Linked DNA regions of Caenorhabditis elegans. The protein of the gene in region 2 purifies or fractionates together with the protein of the main gene of each other region. This does not show direct contact. Each region holds a gene or a part of one and is shown on either strand. Other genes may lie near its edges. The genes, in order: snr-1, rsp-4 and dpm-1.

Region 1 (6,005 bases), on a different chromosome or scaffold from region 2:
ATTTGTTTTTACAAAATTGGAAGCAATTTACAAGAATATTAAAATTTTCTAAATTTTAAAAATAAAATAGTTTTTTAAAAAATTTCAGAAATTTTTTTAACACAAAAATTCAATTTTTATGAATTTTACAAAAAAAAATTATTAAAAAATCCAAAAAAAATTTCTAGGTCAAATCATTCGTGATCGCCTACAACGCAATTCGTCATCACATCGACCCAGACACAGCAATCGATGCAGCAACACTGGAACAGAGAACTCAAGCAGAAACATGGGGAAATGTTGAATGGGCTCACGGAATTGAAAGAGAAGAACTCATGACAAGACTGTCGGCTGCTTGTCTTTTTGTCTATTTTAATTCAAATAATTTCACTTCAAAAACTGTTTAATTTCTTTTTTAAAATCTCTAGTTTTTAGCTTGTTTTAGTAATTGTTTGTTTTGTTTTTTTTAAATTCATTTCTTCATTTTAATTAAAATATTATTTTATAAATAACGCATCATACATTGGTATTCATTGTTCGCGAAGAAGTAGAACCTGAAAAAATGTCGTGTTATTATGGAGACGTAGAAAAATGCAAATTTGGAAATCGCGCTCCACCGAACATTGGACCTTTTAGACGGGAAAGCTAGAAAATCAAATGTTTTTCGAGCACTTTTCGTCAAAATTACTTTTTTAACAGATTTTTGGCATAAAAATTTACGGAAAATACGAAAAATTCTCGAAAACGGGGAAAATCAAGCATTTTTCGACTTTTTTGTGATTTTTTGAGTGATTTTTATGCATTTTATGACGAAATTGAATTTTTTTGACAAAAAAAATTATAAAACACCACCAGAGAAATAACGAAAATAAGCCGAAAAATAACTGAAAACGTTTGAATTTATCGTTTTGCCGCCAGTTCCTAACGGTACCCAACTTTTTCGCGTTGGAGCGCGATTGCGCCTCGATTTCAAAAGGCGCGTACAAATTAAGAAGTGCCGTTGAAATATTACCGGAAATTATTGAAAATTCGGTTTTCTCATCATAAAAACTGATTTTTTTTACTTTTGAAAGAAAATTGAATTTTTTTTTGAAAATTCAAACTTACTCTATATAACTTGCTTCTTTGGTGATTTTCAACAAAATATAATAATCATCTCTTAAAATATTCTCTGCAAATTGCCAAATCACATCTTCCCCGACAAACGTCGGTACACGAATCGTAATTTGGCATACAATAAGGGAATATATTTTTCTAATTTTCAGAAGGTTATCCAAATAATTTTCAATTTCTTTCATTTCAAAGATGAAAATATGCTCTATTACCTGGAAAACATGCCCTTTTCGAAATTAAGGTTGGTGCAATCGCGCTCCACGGAATCTCGTTGGGTATTGGCGGCAAAAATTAGACATTCAAACGTTTTCACATGTTTTTTTTAAACATTTTTACGTTTTTTCAGTTGTTCTTGACGATTTTCAGAAAAAATTACATTTTTAGCAGAAAAATAATTTAAAAAAACGGTCAGAGCAACAAAAAAAAGACTAAAAAAGGTCGCAAAATATTTGAATCCCCAGTTTCCCCGCCAAAACGAGACCTTTTCGCGTTGGGGGCGATTGCACCTCGATTTCAAAAATATTTTTAAATTAAATTTGTATTTTCAGCTTACATTTTCTTCTTTAAATTGAAGCAGAGCATTGTTTAGTTGTGATTTTGAAAGATCATCTACTTTTTTATAATTTTCAAGCTGAAAATTTCAGAATTTAAAAGTTCATTTCTTCGACTATAAACTACAAACTCCACGGAGGTTCTCCCTCGAATCGATAATCAAATATTTGCAATTGAGCATCTTAAAATCGGTATTATTCAATATTTGGAGGGAATTTCCCCCGAAAAACACGAAATTATTGCATTTTTGAAACGGAAAAAATGTTCCAGACTCTTCCCAAGTGAAATATTCCGAGAGAGCACATCGTTTTACAGTGTACGGCAGATGTGAAAGCTTCTGAACAGAGAAATAAAAAAAATAACAGAATATTCGCGACCGCGACGCAATAGCAAGCGGAGCGGCTCGAAAAAAAACGTGGATTTTCAAGTTTTTCGCTCAATTTTTTGCGAAAAATTACTCACTTTGCCGGTAAACTCTAAATATTTTAGCACACACTGGTCTGCCCGTGCCAAAAGTTTGGCTCTATCCTCTATCCCTTTTGGAAAATGCTCTGCATCATCGAATGCTCCATTTAAATGCGAATAAAAGAATAAGGAGAACAAAAAGAAGACGACTGGCGAATGATTTACCATTTCGCCAGTTATATTCTAGGCGAATACCACACTTTGGAATTGTGGTAATCTTACAGGGAAATCTCCGAAACCAGTTTGTCGTCGTCTTTTTTCTGGAAAATAATTTATGAAAAATGAAGTATGATTCAACAAATAACAAAGTGCGGAGCCGGGACAAGCAGGAGATCACGTCAAATTCAACGGTCTGCGCACGCTTTGAAAAGAAGAGAAACTGGAAGAATGGGGGACTCGAGAGAGAGAAAAAATACAGAGAATTGATTATATTTGCGCCGTGTTGTGCTTATCCACGGAACGTTGGAGCTCCTCCCGGGCGAGACATTCCACGTGGTCCTCCACGGCCCATTGGTCGACGGAAAGCGGTTCCACGTCCTCTTCCACGCTGATCGAGACCTCCCAAACCCATTCCAATGGCTCCTTTCTGGGCTCTTCCGATATTTTTGAACATTGGCGCGTTTTTGAGCATATCCGGCAGAATCATGAATCGGATCTGGAAATTGATTGGTTTACAGCTGAAATTTAGAGAAAAATGGTGAAAAACCTTGTTTCCGCGAATGAAAACGTTGTCCAATTGATGACTTCTTCCGTCGCGGAAAGTCACAACGGTTTCAGCCAGCTGACAGTTCATGTTGTCTTCGGCTTCAGAAAGTTTTCCTCGGTAAACTTCGCCTGGAATAGAAAAGTATTTATTGAGCGACGGGAAATTCGAAAATGATTACCTGTAACGGTTTCGAGCGTGACCATGTGACCTTCGGCCTCATGAAGAATCTTGATTGGGACACCAACTGAAGTCATTCTGAAAATTTTGATTCTGTAGATTCGGCTTGAAGGGAGAAAACGTTAGAAAAAAGAAGTAGAATCGCCTAAAATTTCAGATTTTCACACTTTTCACGGTAAAGTTTGTTCTCATTTGAAATATGCTGAGCATAATAGACAAAAAAGGAATAAAACCCCGAAAATGAAGTTTTTTCGGAAAATTCTAGAATTTGCACGCGTTGCAAGAAAAATGTGGCAACAAATGGATTTCCAGATGAGAAAAATGTGTTTTAGAACTTTATTTTGAAGAAAATCTAGAAATAAAACGGTTTTTCTTTCTAAAAATTACGAAAAATGAAGAGCTCAAAATGAAAAATGAAGGGAATAAAATTCGAAAATAAGGCACGCGACGCAGCACGCAGCGTGTGCAGTGGGGCGCGTTTGCGGGAAGGGCCTCATGAAGTTAACTTCCCGGAGACGCAAGAACGCCGAAATTGGAGACTAGCATTTATGTAAAATGCAAATTTAAATATTTAATTAAATGAAAACTATTATATTATTCTTAATCAATTATAAATACTAAAAAAATACAGCAATTTTCATTTGTAAAGCTGCCAGAAACTATTTCAAATCTCACGTTCCCTTGTCCCCGAGATACTAGTTTTACGGAATGCGCATAGAATTTTTTAATTATTTACCAGATTTTACAGATGAATTTCCATAATTTTATGTAAAATATGAAGAAAAATCGGAAAATTCTCTAGAAAAATGTCAAATCGGCTTTATATTCTCCTTGCTGTAGTCCTTTTCCTAGCAACATTCGGTTCAACCGGTCTAATCGTTCTTCCAGCCAGTATCCTCTGTTTCGTAGCGGGGTAAGCTTTAATTCTTTAGAAAAACCTTAAACTGGAATACCTTCAGATTTCTCTACATTTTCTATCAAACGGGACACGAAAAACATGACGAAATCGCTGGAATTTTATCCGAAAATCTGCAAAAAGGAAAATTATCTGCGGGAATTGAGGCTCTGCTGAAAAATGGAAAACGACTCAAAGAGCAAAATCAATATGTGGAGGTGCATTCAATGTGCAATTCACCGCAATTAGATTTGGTTTTAGAACAAGTAGGGATTTATGTGGACTGAAATGTTATTAAAAATATTTTTTTTTAGATTCTCGGCAATATAACACGGGATTACGTCGGCTTTTGGTATAAAACACTTTCAAATGATAATATTTTTGAACAAAGCTTAAAGAGAACCTCCCGAAGATCAATTGCCTCATTGACACAATGGTGTGTAGCTCATTAATAAAATTTTATTTTATAAAACAAAAAATGGAAAAAAATCAATAAAATCTCAAATTTCCAGTCTCCGCCAGGTTGATTGGGTTCCATTGCTCACGCGTGACGTTGTCGACGATTTTGCTTCTCATTTACGGCTTTTCCGGAAAGCTAAGGAAAGAACTGCATTTCAAGCGAAGGAAAAAGATAAAACATTATCCCCTGAAGATTTGGAAGCGGAATTGCTCAGCAATTTCTTTGATTTTGAGCTGGAAATGGAAAAATCGTTGTGTAGAGATCTTCTTTCAACTACACCGCATTATGAAAATGGTAAAAATTGAGATTTTCGATGAAAAAATTCAATTTTTTCCGATTTTTCAGCCTATCTTCATGATCTTGTCGATATAATTCTCTATTTAATAATGCCACCGGAAGATTTTAGATGTCGGCCGCTGAGATTCTTGCTTCGAGAAGTTGTTGGTCAGTGTCGGAAGATATTCAGGAAATTGAGAAAAATTGAAAAAATAAAATCAATTTTTAAATCGAATTTTCTTCTAAAAAGACAAAAAATGACCGAAATTTGATGGAAAATTTAATTTTTTTCTGAAAAAAAAGTCAATGTCCCTTTAAAAGATGTGTAGATTTGCGAGCCACGAGTATACTCGTGGACAAGCATGAAAAACGTATTTTCTAGCAGGATTTCACGGTTTTTTGCGTTTTAAATTTAATTCTGCCTAAAATAATAAAAAAAATTATAGAAAAAATAATTTTTTATTGATTTTTTGTTGAAAATCGAAAAATTTTAATGCTATTTTTCGAAAAATCGGGGAAAAAACTAAAAAATATTTTTCGTTAACTTTTTTGAAATCCAAAAATTTAAAGTTTTTCGATTTTTCAAAAAATAGCAACAAAACCATCGAAACACACAATTTTTCTTCAGAAAATAGGAAATCTCAGACATTTTTGCCGAAAAAAACGCTTGTCCTCGCATAGTACACGGTGCTCGTAAATCTACACAACTTTTAAAGGGACATAGAAGGTCTCGCAACGCTCTTTGCTGGCGAAAAATGGATAAAAAAACGAAAATAACATTTAAAAATCTAGTTATTATTTTTTTTTTTCAGTAAGAAAAGTGATTCTGCCTACTCTGGACTACCTCTCCGATCCAAATGAAATATTTCAATTAATCGTTTGGCTTCTCAGTGAAGTGGAACCAAAACCCGATGATTTTGTGGCGTGTCTCACGAGTTCAACATCCATCGAAGAGCTGGAAGCCGTGTTCCGAGCGATTGCTGACGAAAAAATTGTAATGAGAGGGAAGGATTCCGGTGGAGAACAGGATACTTTCGTTAAACAACAACTAGCCAGTCTACAATTCGTCGAAAATCTAGTTCAGCGGCGAATCGACTTCTTGGGATCCAAAGATTCCGCGTTGCTCACGAAATTTGGCGAAGATGGAGATCAACTTGTACAGCTTCCACTTCACGTTATTCTCACGAATTCTATTGCTCTGTCACAGTTCTGCGAATTTCTCAAATCAGCTGGCGGTCAAAATTATATTGATCTTTATTTAGCCATTGAGGTACATTGGAAATGTCCTACTTGTGTGATTTTGCAGTTTTTTTGGCTTAGTTTTGCTTTAGAACACCATTTTTGATGAAAAACACTGAAAAGATCAGCGAAAATGACCCAAA
Region 2 (6,792 bases):
AAAGTTGTTCGAGATCCAGCGCCAAATCAGTATATGTTGATTATCAAGTTCAAGGAACATGTAGGTTCAAGTTATACTAACGATTAATTGGCAAATATTTATTTCAGAATGATGCTGTAACATTCTACGAGGAATTCAACAATTGCCCGTTTAATGATCTCGAATCGTATTGTTGCACGCTTTTCTTTGTGGATAGAATTGAATGTGTAAGTTATTATTATTTTATTTCAATAATTCCAGATATTTCGAAACAATTTATAAATTTCAGACAACGTCGAATGATCTCTTCTCCTCCGATGATACATCTCTTACGGAGCTTCCAACTTGTGCAGTTTGTCTGGAACGAATGGATGATAGTGTTCTTGCAATTCTATGTAATCATTCATTTCATGCTCGTTGCCTGGAACAATGGGCAGACAATACTTGTCCAGTCTGTCGATATGTTCAATCTCCAGAAGTTGTCGCAGAGCAACGTTGTAATGATTGTGGAATGAGCAACGATCTATGGATTTGTCTAATTTGTGGAAATATAGGTTGTGGAAGATACGCAGAACAACATGCACAACGACATTGGGAGCTCACTTCACATACTTATAGTTTGAAAGTTGGAGGAGAACGAGTCTGGGATTATGCTGGAGACAATTACGTGCATAGATTGATTGAAAATGGAGCTGATGGGAAACTTGTCGAGTATCAGAGAGAATCGAATGCGGTATGTTCATACTGGACCAAAAAAAAATTGTTGATTTAAAAACAATAATTTTTTGTTAAAAAACTGGTGGAAACAAAAAAAAAGAATGTTTTGAGGCTTCAAAGTGCCGAAAATCAACCTTTTCGTATAACTAATTTGAATTTCGCGCACTAATTAGTTTTGAAAATTCTCGGCCGTGTACTCCTCTCGGGCAATGAATCAATTAATTTTTTTGGATGCAATTTTTCGGGTTTTCTCATTGAATTCTATTGGTTTTTGTTTGAAAACAAATATATATATATATATATATGCGTCTGTAAATGCGTTTCAAATTAATTATCACACAAATACTTTTGTTCTGCCTAGGAATAAGTGCTAAAATCCTGTAATATATTCATTTTCCCCTTTATCGTTGAATAATAAGTATGATCATGTTCTAAAAGTGTTTGAAATCCAAAGTGTTTGATTTTTTACTTTATTTTTGCTATCATAAAGCAAAATTTTTTTTTTTTCGTGAAAAAATACCTTTGAAAAACAGAAAAAAAAGCAAAAAAAAAGTCCAGCACTGTTTTGTGGCCTTTTCATTCTATACAGAAAATTTATAAATTCATTTAAAATTTTGTTTTCAAGTATTCTGACTAAATAGACCAGAATGTTTAGTCTTCACTCAAATTCCCTAAAAATGTTGAAAATTGCAGAGCTTTGATGACAAAAACCAAAAGGGTGGAGACAAGCTTGAGGGAATCAAACTCGAATACACTCTACTCCTGACCAGTCAACTTGAGGATCAACGGAAATATTTTGAAGGTCTACGTCACGATATGGAGCAAACGATGTCAAAAATGGAGAAAACTGCTTATGCTCAAGTAGAGAATCTCGAGCATCAACTGACGGAACGATCAACTGAATTGAAATCATTAAAAGGAGATTTAGATGATACTGTGACGGCGAGAAAAGTGGCAGAGAAACGAGCAACGCAGACAAATGAAAAAGTGAATAAGCTTGCAAATGAGTTGAAAGATGAACGTGAAATAAATCAAATGTTGAGAAAAGATCAGCAAGTGTGGAAAGGTCAAGTGGAAAAGCTTATTGAAAGTCAGAAAACTGCTCGAACCGAGTATGAAAAGGTATTCGTCTAAATAGATTCCCTTGATCTCTTGAAAGCTTTTCTTTTCAGAAAATCGAAGATCTTCAGTCACAAGTCAATGATCTTTTGATGCATTTTGAAACTCAAAATAAGCTGAAAGAGCAGTTGGATGCTGGAAAAATAACTCAAGAGGTTGGTTAACCAATGCTCGCCACAATAAAAATGTTTAATTTACAGGAAATAACTGAAAGTCAAGTTGAACTCGATTCGTCGTCCTCCTCGTCGAGAAAATTGAACAGAAAGAAGAAAAAGTAGTTGGCATCTCAGGAGATCCATGTCCTATTTAATTTTTGCATATTGAACATTTCTTTAATAGTCTTTTCATATATGGTTAGTCTCACTTGAATATTTATTCGCTTTCTTTCGCGTATCTCATCGAATTTTGTGCGGTATATATGTATGCAGCCGGTAGTTTATTTAATGCATTCGCTTATGAATAAAATGATATCGTTCGAGTGTCTTTTGGTTTCATATTATGTACCATGTTTTCAATCGTTATTAAACGACGAGTCAAAAACTATTTTTCGAATTCCCTCCTCTTTCCTTGCTGACACATTTTCGGTGCTGACGCAACTCTTGTGTTCACTAAGAACGCACACTTCGTTTTAAACGTCTCCGCTGGCCATCATTCTTGTTTCCTTCGATTTTTCTCGATACTTATCTTTTACAAATTATTTTCTCTTTTTTTCAAGATTTCCATCAACTTTTAATATCACTGCTCTCATAATTTCTCGAAACTCTTCGTATTTCTCTAATTCAAAAGTTTTCTGCCGCATTTTTACACTCACTAACCAAGATTATCGATTTTTGGGCAATTTATGACAATTTGGAATCATCTTTTGTGTCGTCCGATAATGAGTTTCGTTCATCAAAAATGCAGAAATATCGGTATAAACAATGTATTAATCTAACATTAAATACAAATTTAACCTCTAGATACGGTTTACCTTGGTAGTAACATTCACCGACTAAATGTGCCTGATAATCTTGTCAAATGGAGCCAAGAATGGTCAGGATACAATCCTCCGGCTCACACCGATCCAAAAGTTGATGGAGCTGTTTGGGCAGACCCAGAAATCGATGAGAAAACGTTCCAACCGTCTTGGAATGCGATCGATGGGAAAATCAATAGAGTGTCATATGTTTGGTGCGTTTATGAGTGTATATACTCAATCAATCAAGAAACCTTCCAGTCAGTACTCATTTGATCCTGTCACCCTTCGCCCACTAAATCCTATTGGACGTACGGGACTTTCTGGTCGTGGTTTGCTTGGTCGTTGGGGTCCAAACCACGCAGCAGATCCGATCGTTTCTAGAACAAACGACAATGGTGATTTGGAGTTTGTTGCAGTTCAACGTCATGACAATGGCGAGTGGGCAATTCCTGGAGGAATGGTGGATGCTGGAGAGCATGTTTCACAAACTCTACGGCGCGAATTCGCAGAAGAAGCAATGCATGGAATTGTCGATTCTGAAAATCTTGATGAATTGTGGAATAATGGTAAAGAGTTATACAGGTGCATTCACAGCTCTTTTATCCCACTCAATGTTTCATTTACAGAGGTTACGTTGATGACCCACGTAACACTGATAACGCATGGATGGAGACTGTTGTTTTCAATTTTCATGATTCAAAAGGCCTTCTGAAAAATGTGGCTCTTCAAGCAGGAGATGATGCTAAAGCTTTACGCTGGATTGCAGTTAATTCAAATGAGCCACTTTACGCTTCTCATTCTCATTTTATTGATCTTCTAAAAGAATCTCATTCTCATTAACTACCACATGTCTCTCTTTTCTCATGTTCTCCTCTTATTTTCGCGTTTCTGTTAGCTATATTCAATTCATAAATGATTTTCATTTCAGAAATGAGCCGTGGAGGAGGTGGTGATCGTCGTGCCGCACCGGATATCAATGGTCTAACTTCGCTGAAAATCGACAACTTGTCGTACCAAACAACGCCCAACGATTTGCGTCGAACTTTTGAGCGATACGGAGACATTGGAGATGTTCACATTCCAAGGGACAAGTACTCTCGCCAATCGAAAGGATTCGGATTCGTTAGATTTTATGAGTAAGTTAAATTGGAACTATTGGAGAGAAAACATCAGAAAATCAATATTATTTTAGACGTCGTGATGCTGAGCACGCATTGGACCGCACAGACGGAAAGTTGGTTGATGGACGCGAGTTACGTGTGACTCTTGCAAAGTATGATCGACCATCGGATGAGAGAGGAGGCCGTGGAGGTGGTGGTGGACGTAGAAGGTTAGTATACTCAGTTGATTCCCCTTGTAGTTGTGCTCAAAAATTAGGCGCGAGACTTAATGGAACCCTTGTCTTCCTGACTTATTTATAGAACAGCAGCAGAGCCAGATGTTGCTGAGCTGAGCTGAATTTTTGCTGCTGTTGAAGCTGTAAATGCTTGCTGAGTGACACTTGAGTAGCAGAATTGCTGAAAATGCAGAGAAAAGCAGTTTTGATGTTGCTGTGTCTGCTGAATGAAACCAGCGGCGACAGTGTGGAAAAGGCAGAAAACAATTTTGTAAGTGCCCGAATATTTTCAATCGGCATATTCTACAGTTTGTTGCTGAAATTCAACTTTCGGTGGCAAACTGTATTGATAGACGTTGTTCTTTGTCTTTGAGTTGTCACTTCTTTCTATCGAATAGAACATTCACAGCGAGTAATGTATTTTGTACTCTATCAAAAACTTGATTCTTTTAAAAACTTAATAAATTTCAGATCCCGCTCACCGAGAAGACGCTCCAGATCTCCAAGATATTCTCGCTCAAGATCTGTAAGTTACTTTTAATGTCACCAATGTATTTAAATAATTTCAGCCGCGACGTTCTCGTAGTCGTACTCGTTCACCACCATCTCGTGATCGCAGAGATTCACCGGATCGTCGTGACAACTCTCGTTCCCGATCTCGTTCACCGCCACCACGTGAGGATGGATCTCCAAAGGAACGCCGTTCCAGAAGCCGCTCGGCATCTCGTTCGCCAAGTCGTAGCCGTTCCAACTCCCGCTAAATTCCGAAAAAATTTCCTCTTCGATTTCTGATTATTTTTCGTTTTCGTTTTCGTTTTTACTATGATTTACTCACTGATCCTGAAATTTCAAACGTCTTTTTTTTCCAGTTGCCTCCAACAAGACAAGTAATATATATGATTTCCAATTTTCCATCTAATTTCTCCAAGAGAACTGTTAAAATAAATCGAAATTCTGTCCGTCAATATTGTTCCAAACTTTTTTCTCTTGAATAAATTGGCTCAAGTGTCAAAGCAGTTAGAAATGTTCACCCAACCACACTTCCGGCTTCCGGTGTCGGAGCTCAGGTCTGGTTTTCAAAAAAACAAAATTTCATTTTCAATATGGGCTATGTTGGAAATGTCAGCTATCCTGATACAATTCCTGGTCAGGGAAATTTGGTTTTTGAAGCAAGTTTTGAATCTGGTTAGTTTTAAATTCAATTATAGACAAACAAGGAAGTAATTATATTATTATTTTTTGAATATTTAAAAAGTTTAAATTTTAAGGAAATTTGGGACGAGTCGACAAAGTTTCCTGTTCAGAATATGATTTATTCATTCGACCTGACACTTTGAATAATAAATATAGAGTTTGGTTCTATTTTGAATGCAAAAATGCATCTGAAAATCAGGTAAATGTTTGAAGAATTTGTATTTATTATTGATATTCGAAAACTGGATCTGAGGCGGAAACGTCGGGTCTCGCAGCGATTTTTAAAAAAATTCAATACCCTACGGGTTACTGTAGGTTTTCAGTTTTTTTCTGCAATGGCCATGGTTCTGAAATATTTACGAATTTTCCAGTATACCTAAATATGTTCTTTATTTTCGGGGAGAACATTTTGAGACAACTTTTTTCCTAGCTACAGTACTCTATTTTCCGCGCTAAAAGGTGTGTGCCTTTAAGAATACAGTAACCCATTCCTCGTTTTGAAAGTTACCGGCGGTTACTGTATTGATTGAAGGCGCACACCTTTTTGACTGGGTACTATTTGAAAATTAGTGTAATTATGCAGTTTAAACTTTAAAATTTTATTATCAAATTTGCAAATTCTTCAGCGGGCGATCTTCAATATTGTGAACTTTTCAAAACAAAGAACACTATTCGAAATGGGAATTGCAGCACCTGTAGTCAAATCAAATGCTCAAAATAGTTGGTATGATGAAAACCCCTCGATTTTCTATTTTAAAGAGCCATTTCAACATTTTAGGGCTCGAATCCCATCTCGCCATATCTACTACTACCGTAGTTCCCAACACAATGATCGTTGGATTCTTTCATTTGCTTTCATATTTGAATCACCAGATCCTGTTCAATTTGCATACTGTATACCGTATACTTATGGACAAATGCAGATATGGTTGAATGAGTTGGAATCCAGAAAATACCCATTTTTTCATAGAGATCTTTTGGTTCAAACTGTGGTAAATTGGAAATATTCATGGAATAGTCTGAAACTTTTTGGAAAATAATTCAGCAAAAACGTCGTGTCGACTTGATAACAATTGATGCAACACCTGACACATTCCAAGGATCCAAGAAAATGATTTTTCTAACTGCGCGAGTTCATCCTGGAGAGTCACCGAGTAGTCATGTTATGCATGGAATTATTGAATTTCTTGTTTCCAAAGATGATCGAGCACAGAAGTTGAGAAAAGTTTATTGTTTCAAAATTATTCCAATGCTTAATCCAGATGGCGTTTTTCTCGGAAATTATAGGTAACTTTTTGCAAACAGCCTAGGTAGGCATTCCTCGTCACCAACAACCTCTCGGCCCAGGCATAAAGGCGTACCTACCTACAGTGCCTACCTTATCAGAAGGTCATTTCAGATGTTCTCTAATGGGTCATGACTTGAATAGAATGTGGAGAACCCCTTCAGATTGGGCTCATCCTTCAATTTATGCTGTGAAGAATTTACT
Region 3 (7,909 bases), on a different chromosome or scaffold from region 2:
TACAAAATTTTTGAGGACAAAATCAATAGTTTCGGCTAAAATTGTATTGTCAATTTTTGATGTTTGCGGTAAATTTGGTAAATTTGCCCCACACCCCTGATCCCCACACACTTATTTAACATTTGTGAATAATAGGCGGATCATAGTTGGCCACTTTTTTCAATTTTCCAAAAAAATCGAAAACTTTATTAAAGGTCAAAATTCCCCGATAATTTAGTTACTGTAGCTTCAAAATCCACAAACACCGTGTGCAATAAATACACGTAAATTCACGGAAACTTGCGGGCTTTTAATCAAATGGTAAGCGGAAACTCAACTTTCAATACGGCGTCCTGCGCGTGAAATGCGCTAAATTGGAAGAGGAGACCCAAAAAAACAAAACCTATTCCAACTTTTTATACTGTAGTTTGTCTTCAGTAAGCAGCATCTTGAAAACTATGGAAGATATGAAAAACTTTTCAACTAGAAAACTAAAGTTGATAATGTAGCCAACATTTCTCAGTTAAGAACTTTTTCGTAAGTGAAGCCATTGAGTAGTTACAACAGTGGTAATGTATGCGCAATGGGATTTTATCAAAAACGTAGTACTTGTGTTTTTAAGTGCGTATATCTTTTTAAATAATAAAAGAATTAAAAAAAGTAAAATCAAGAATTGTAGTGTTTTGTATGCTGAGCATTTCTTCGGCTAAAAGTTTTTTGATATCTATGCTCACGAGAGAGCTATGCTCTTTTGGAAAACGTACAAGTTAAATTCCTTGATATAACCTCGCTAGCTGTTATAGATCATAACTCAGTAACCAGTGACGGAATCAAAAAACGCTAAACTAATGAAATGTTCAAAATTGTTCAAATATTATTTTCATAATTGACTGCTTCCTGTTTTATTTCTTATTCGCAAAGTTACGCACGTTTAAATAATATTTATCGTGATTTCTGGTATATTGAACTACAAAAATTAAAATTGTTATTGAAAATCTTATTGAACAATCCATTTTTCATTCAATTTTAATATTTTTTTCAAACGTAAATTAGCAAGAATTTGAAGCTTTGTTCAAAATCTTCCGTTTTTCGCCGCTTTTCACGTTTTGAGCGAAAGAGCGTGCGCAAGTGAGAGGTGAAAGATGACGAGAGCGACTTGCTTGCGCGTTTCACCCGCAGGAGGCCGTGTATAAACTTTATATATACTATAAAGTTTGTTTACCGTTTCGAATCAGTTCCTTTATCTTTTTCAATAATTTCTCGCATTTTTCTCATTTCTTATTTTAATTTTATTTGCATTTGCCGCGTAAGTGACACGAAAAGTGAGCGCCGCAAACGCGCTCCGCTGAGAATTTGTTTGTGCACTCCTCTCGAATAAGTCAAAAATACACGTCTTTATTAAAACTTATTGATTTTTCAGTGTATTCCTGTGATTTTTCTTGAATTTCTAAATGTTTTTGCAGATGAACACTCAAATTTCCATGCGAAACTTGCTAACAAGCTGCTCAAAAGCCATCACAGCAGGTTAGTAAAGGAAAAAGGTCGAAAAATATCATTTGAAGGTTATTTTCAAAAAAAAAACGTGGCAGAACATTTTTCGTACAACATTTTTCATGTGAAAATTGCAATTACTATTATTTCCATTCATTTCTCCTCAAAATCAGACTTTTTATAAACCATTTCCCCCTTCCTCTCCCTAAATCAAAATCACTATTCCCGCGTGAATTTCACATTTTCAGAGAGAAATAATGCGTGGAGAGCAAGTTTGGGAAAAATCAGCCGTCGAGACTACTTGCATCGGTACCAAGTTAAATTTATCCGTCCGGATGGTTCGACAATCATGGTTCCCGCCGCTGAACCGAGACAGGTTGCTTTTTGAAAAATACATATTTAATTGCAGTTTTTATATTTAATCAGTTTTTTAATTGTACATATTTTCAGACATTCCAATCTGCCGTCGACCTCAAACAGTTGAGCGAGGATGAACGACGACAACGGCTGGCTGCTCGTAAACCAAAAGCCAAGATCACAAAAACAGTAATTATATAATTAACGATTTCAAATTAAAAATGGTTTTTTCAGGAAGTTATCGATGACACCTTCGATGAGTCGGAGTATATGAAGTTTTGGTCGGCACCCGGGCAGAAATCCACGAAAAAATAAGAAAAATCTCGTTATTAGCATGTAGTATTTCTTTTTTTTTGTTAGATTTTTTGTTTTCGTTATATTTACTATGAATATCGACTTTATTCTCGATCTGATTAATATTGATTTGTGCGTTTAGTCGCAATTTTATATCAATTATCTCTATTTCACTAGGGAACCCCGTAACAGCTTGGTGGATAGGAAACCAAGAAGTTTGTGGAGGAAAATCGAGTTTCCGGTCGAAATTAGCTTGAAAATACTAATATGCTAAAAACCTCTAAAAACCTCATTTTTCAGCGATAAACGCCGAATTTTCAGCCATTTTCCGAGAAAAACGCGAATTTTCGGGTAAAAAACCCGATCTCAGAACGAATTTGACTTCAAAAATGGAAAAATGCGATAAGAAGCGTGAAGTTTCACTGAAAACTCTTAATTTCAACGTTTTTTACTCAAAAAATCGTATTTCTGGCTCAAAAACAGTGAAATTTATCATTTTTTTTCTGTGAAAAAATCGATTGGGGGGACCAATAAAAGGTACATTTTTGTGACCCACTGACCGAAAATGTACTTTAATCAAAGAATAAGCGCGTAGTAAAGGACCATAATATTTATTAAAGATTGATAATTGAATAAAAATTTAGTTCCAGACGGTGTCACACCGAGAAGGTGGAAAAATGTGATTTTAGCTGAAAATGAGCTTTTTCTAAAACTTTGACCCATAACTTTTTTTTGAGAAAATTTCAAAACTTCTCATTACGAAATTCGGTAGTTTTGAATCATTTGGTTCTAAAAAGCAAAGTCTTAGATTTCGGTACTCCAACTTTAATTTTCAGTGACACTAGTGTTTTTAAGACTTTGAGACCGATTAATTTTGTTTTGATTTCGAGTAGCCAGTATTTAACACAAGCTTCCGATTGGTATACTTTTTGTTTCTCTTATTCACCAAGTTTTTACAGGGATCCCTAGTCAGATTATTCAAAAGGAATTTTATGTTTCAGATTATTATGACATCCACTCCGAAATATTCGATAATTCTGCCAACCTACAACGAAAAAGAAAATTTGCCGATTTGCATTTGGTTAATTGAAAATTATCTGAAAGAAGTTTCACATGAAGTGATTATCGTTGACGATGCATCACCAGACGGTACTCAAGGCATTGCAAAACTTCTTCAAAAGGAGTACGGAGACGATAAGATTCTGATCAAGCCACGAGTTGGAAAACTTGGACTTGGTACAGCCTATTCACATGGATTATCGTTTGCACGTGGAGAATTTATCATTCTTATGGACGCAGATCTTTCTCATCATCCAAAATTCATTCCGGAAATGATTGCGCTTCAACATAAGTATAAGGTATACATTATTCGTACATTTTTTCTAAAAATTGTTAAAAAAACAGAACTTTTTTAAATTTCAAAATTTATAGGTGTACAAATGTTATTTTAGTTAAATAATAGTTAATTTGATGAAAGTTTTCCAATTTGAGAAAAATATGGCAAGAACTTATTATGCAACGTTAAGCATTTAAAATTTATATAGAAATGTAGAACACAGCATGTTCTATCTGAAAATAACATATATTTCTGTTAAAAAATTGAAAAAAGTCCTCAAATAGTACCTGAAAATTGTCGTTTGACGAAAAGGTGCCGTTAAAAGTTTTTTCGGCAAACTGTAACTTTCAGGCACAGTTGGATCAGGGGTGTGCTGATAATATCCGATTCACTATCAGCCGAATTTCTGCCAGTTTAGCTAATTTAAACTTTAAGTTATCCGGTAGCCGATGTTGGCCGATCTTAGCCCAATTTCCCGGTCTGCTAATTTCACTAACACATTTTTTTTTGGAAAAAATGTTGGGGTTTTATATGATTTTTTCTATTTGAACAGTCGTTCATCACTGAATTTGCTAAAAAATAGTGAACATCACCGCAACTTTTTTCGAACGAGGGCCGAGAAAAAATGCGAAAAATCGGTGTTTGCACACAAAACACCGCATTTTACGACATTTTGTACTTGCTTTGTTTTCTCTTGTTTTTCACCAATTTTTCCCGTGTTTTCTTATCAAAACTGATAAATAAATTTTTTTGCTAATGCTAAAATAATTTCCAGATGAAAAAATATGTATTCAGTCGGCAAGTAGCGGTGAAAGTCGTCAATGTAATATGATGGATTACGGGAATACAAAACCCAAACTTTTTCCCAAACATGATACATATGCTGCTCTGATGCTGAAACTACCTGATTTTCATAACGAGACCGCTGAAAAAGTTTTGAGGTTTTCAAAATTCAACTTTTTGTGCGAAAATCTCTACTTTTTCACCAAAAAAGTTGAATTTTGAAAGCCTCAAAACTTTTTCAGTGGTCTCGTTATGAAAATCAGGTAGTTTCAGCATCAGAGCAGCATATGTATCATGTGTGGGAAAAAGTTTGGGTTTTGTGTTCCCGTAATCCATCATATTACATTGACCACTTTCACCGTTACTTACAGACTCAATACACAATTTTTTCACTTGGAAATTGTTTTAGCATCTGCAAAAAATATTTATTTATTAGTATTAATAAGAAAAAATGGGGAAAATTGGTGAAAAACGAAAGAAAACACGCGGAAAACAAAGCAACATAAATGGCCGCTGAAACTTGTCGGGGACTCGGCCATGGCCTAGAAACCTTTTTGCCTCGTCCCTCGTTCGAAAAAAGTTGTAGTGAATAGCCGTTAGCCGGCTTCAAAAAAGTCGGCATTAGCCGATCTATCTGTTAGCCGAAAAAGTCGGTTATCCGCACACCCCTGATTATCATGTTGAAATGCGCCAGTTTTGTGCGTTTGCCGAAAATAATGTCTCACCTAATATCAAGTTTCCGATAATAGAGGACATAATATTACATTTAAAAAACCATCACATTTATATCAACACAATGCCTTTTTTAAGCATAAAAATACAATTTTTTTATTTATTTTTCAGCTCGACATCGTGACAGGAACACGCTACAAGGACGGAGGTGGTGTTAGTGGATGGGATTTGAAGAGGAAGACGATCAGCAAGGGAGCCAATTTTTTGGCTCAGTTTCTGCTGAATCCAGGTGTATCTGATTTAACAGGATCATTTCGTCTTTATAAGAGAGATATTCTGTCGAAGTTGATTGCTGAAAGTGTAAGCAAAGGATACGTTTTTCAGGTGAATATAGGTTTAAATTTTGAAAAATAAAGATATTTCTGCAACTCGTGCACACCATTTACCAAAAACCGGAGCCAATGAAAAAAGGTTTTTATTGATCAAGAAACAGAAATGCAATCAAAACTTAAGCTTATTCTGAGGCTCTTCGAAAATTCAAAGTTAAATATATATAAAGAAGATTTTTTAATAACAAAATACTGTGAAAAAGATTTTTTAATGTTTTTAAAATCCGAATTGCAGATGGAAATGATGTTTCGAGCGAAAAAATCGGGTTATCGTATTGGGGAGGTACCAATCTCATTCGTCGATCGATTCTTTGGAGAATCAAAGCTCGGAAGTCAGGAAATCGTGGATTACGCAAAAGGACTTCTCTATCTGTTTGCATTTGTTTGGTAGATTCTGTGATATAATTTGTATTCATTTTACTATTTTTAATTTAAATTTTAAGAATTAAAATTTCTGAGAGTTTTATAGCCAGAGCGCTTCATTGTACGTTTTCCAAATTTTTTTATTATGACCTTGGGGATTCCTATTTATATTGTTTCCAAACATTCTTGTTTAAATTATATTTTTTCTTCGAATAAATCGTTATAATATTTTTTAAGATGCCAACAAAATTGGAAACAATTTGTGCACAAATGTTCTGGTTGGCTAAGTGTCAAGTTGCCGAATAATTAAAGCTCGGCAAATGCCGAAAAATAGAAGAAATATGTATCCAATTTTCAAAAAGAGATTAAAATTTTCAGATTATCCAGTGTTGGGAGTTAAAAATGTTATATTTTTGTACCAATATCTCGGCAAATCGGTCCAGTTTTCCAGGGCGCTTTCAACGTCTTTCAACGACTACCCCCGAGCTGTGAATTGTGCCCTGGAAAGCTGGCGATGAGCGGCAAACTCCAGAAAAAAAAGTGGGTGTGTGTGCCGCACACTGCCGTACTCTGTTGCACATTTCTGTGCATTTCTGAGTCACTATTTTTGGTGAACGGCCAGAGTCACTATATTTGGTGAACGGCCCAAATATAGTGACTCTGGCCGTTCACCAAGAACAGTGACTGTCTCGGTAGACGTATGCGCACATTCCGCGCACCTTCCGCGCACATTCTGCGCACATTGGTTTTTGTGTGTTTTTCATCCAGAAATCATGCATTCTGCGCACATTCCACGCACATTGCCTTTGGTGTGGCCATTTTCCACACCGCTAGCCCTTTGAGCACATTCCGCGCACTTTCCGCGCGGATTCTGCGCACATTGACTTAGATAATCTACAACTATTGCTCAATTTCTGCTTTCTATAAATATTTTAACGTTGTTTAATTTTTATGTCTGAGTCCATATTTACTAGTACTTCTGATATCTGGAAATACATAATAGTCAAGAGAAAAGACAGAAATAATCGTAAAATGCCAACAACGTCACTGTAGAGTTCAAATATGTTTTCCCAAATATCATATTTGAGCTAACAGGTTGTAAACAGGTTGTAACGTCGTCTATCGTGATTGATTTACAACTACATAATGTCCCACAATTTAATAATGTCCCACATTTTAAGATAAAATAACTGTCAAATTTTTGTTTCAAAAATTGAAAATGTGGCTCCTGTTCCTAAACAGTTTCATCAAAATAACTTCAAATAAAGAAAAACTATATACAATCAGCTTATCTAACAATTTTCGTAAGTCTAACTAGTCTGCCAAGCAGCCTCTAATAAATGCCGAGTGTACAGACTCCGCCCCTTTTTCGCGTTTTTTCGCGTTTTTTTTAGCTTGCGAAAAAATGTCACACTTCGTTTTCATTAATAACTCCAGAGCCGTTTGACTGAATTTTATAATATTTGACAGCTTACTAGAAATATTTCACCCCACGGGGGAGCAAAAAACTGCACAAAGTTTGGAGCAAAACTGAGCTCAGGGCGGCTTTCCCCAGTTTGAAAAAAATTTTTGTTGCTCTTTTTACCCCCAAAAAACCATGTTTTAATTGAATTAAAATTCGGATTTTGCTCGGTTTTGTTCCAAATTTATGTGCAAGATACTACTCAGAGAGGTGGATTTTTTGAAAGAAAGTTTGAGTTCATAAGTGCAAAAGGCAAAAAGTTGTGATAAAACAAAAGGCCAAAAAATGCCATTTTGCCAAAAAAAATTTTTTTTCCGAAAAAGTAGTTTTTCGTCTTTATCTCAAGTTCTACTTCATCTTTTCGACACTTTTTTTTCTACCCCACGTAAAAAAGTACGTTGAACACGATTTTCAACTCAGAATTAAGAAAAGTTTTATGAGTCGGCCGAGCAAGACGAATAAGTGCCACATTTTGCACGCTTTCCCATTTTCGCGAATCTACTTTTTCAATCATAACTCGGTCAGTTTTCAAGTTTTCTTAGTTTTCCAAAAATTGACGTGTAGGTCTCATCAAGACGCATCGAGACATATAAAATTTGTAAAAAGTTCAGTGGGAAAATTTTTCAAGAAAAAAATAATTCAAAAATTTAGTACTGGGGGGAGTGGTTTCCTGGGTCTCCTGCACATTTTTTCCACTAAAGTTTTGCGGAATGTATTTTTGATTCATAGTTTTTGATTTTATTTAATGGAAGATGAAGTTTCGTCGCATTAGAAATACTCTGC

The links.
Region 1: the proteins of rsp-4 (region 2) and snr-1 fractionate together in Caenorhabditis elegans (co-fractionation; one large-scale study listed by BioGRID). This does not show direct contact.
Region 3: the proteins of rsp-4 (region 2) and dpm-1 fractionate together in Caenorhabditis elegans (co-fractionation; one large-scale study listed by BioGRID). This does not show direct contact.

The regions. Positions count from the first base shown.
Region 1 is NC_003282.8:17,085,123-17,091,127, reverse strand, and holds snr-1 (Small nuclear ribonucleoprotein Sm D3), read right to left. Parts: upstream 3,080-6,005; 5' UTR 3,070-3,079; coding exon 2,994-3,069; intron 2,944-2,993; coding exon 2,816-2,943; intron 2,765-2,815; coding exon 2,558-2,764; 3' UTR 2,278-2,557; downstream 1-2,277. Other genes in the region: Y116A8C.27 (ATP synthase mitochondrial F1 complex assembly factor 2), read left to right, coding at 168-386; Y116A8C.43 (Lipoprotein), read right to left, coding at 482-533, 1,087-1,304, 1,646-1,723, 1,775-1,981, 2,107-2,277; snx-13 (Sorting nexin-13), read left to right, coding at 3,799-3,905, 3,952-4,153, 4,202-4,323, 4,400-4,641, 4,693-4,791, 5,436-5,893. UniProt on the Caenorhabditis elegans protein: Plays a role in pre-mRNA splicing as a core component of the spliceosomal U1, U2, U4 and U5 small nuclear ribonucleoproteins (snRNPs), the building blocks of the spliceosome.
Region 2 is NC_003280.10:5,385,738-5,392,529, reverse strand, and holds rsp-4 (putative splicing factor, arginine/serine-rich 4), read left to right. Parts: upstream 1-3,700; 5' UTR 3,701-3,703; coding exon 3,704-3,909; intron 3,910-3,965; coding exon 3,966-4,103; intron 4,104-4,194; coding exon of another isoform or gene 4,195-4,231; exon of another isoform or gene 4,232-4,380; intron 4,381-4,580; coding exon 4,581-4,635; intron 4,636-4,678; coding exon 4,679-4,870; 3' UTR 4,871-5,119; downstream 5,120-6,792. Other genes in the region: brap-2 (BRCA1-associated protein homolog 2), read left to right, coding at 1-60, 108-206, 269-712, 1,390-1,818, 1,869-1,970, 2,016-2,093; ndx-6 (Putative nudix hydrolase 6), read left to right, coding at 2,693-2,726, 2,775-2,985, 3,032-3,355, 3,400-3,613; ccpp-6 (Cytosolic carboxypeptidase 6), read left to right, coding at 5,213-5,294, 5,378-5,502, 5,930-6,027, 6,082-6,295, 6,349-6,590, 6,703-6,792. UniProt on the Caenorhabditis elegans protein: May play a functionally redundant role in embryogenesis.
Region 3 is NC_003282.8:442,555-450,463, forward strand, and holds dpm-1 (Dolichol-phosphate mannosyltransferase subunit 1), read left to right. Parts: upstream 1-3,122; 5' UTR 3,123-3,128; coding exon 3,129-3,479; intron 3,480-5,083; coding exon 5,084-5,296; intron 5,297-5,536; coding exon 5,537-5,692; 3' UTR 5,693-5,895; downstream 5,896-7,909. Other genes in the region: mrpl-55 (39S ribosomal protein L55, mitochondrial), read left to right, coding at 1,431-1,503, 1,719-1,846, 1,921-2,016, 2,062-2,142.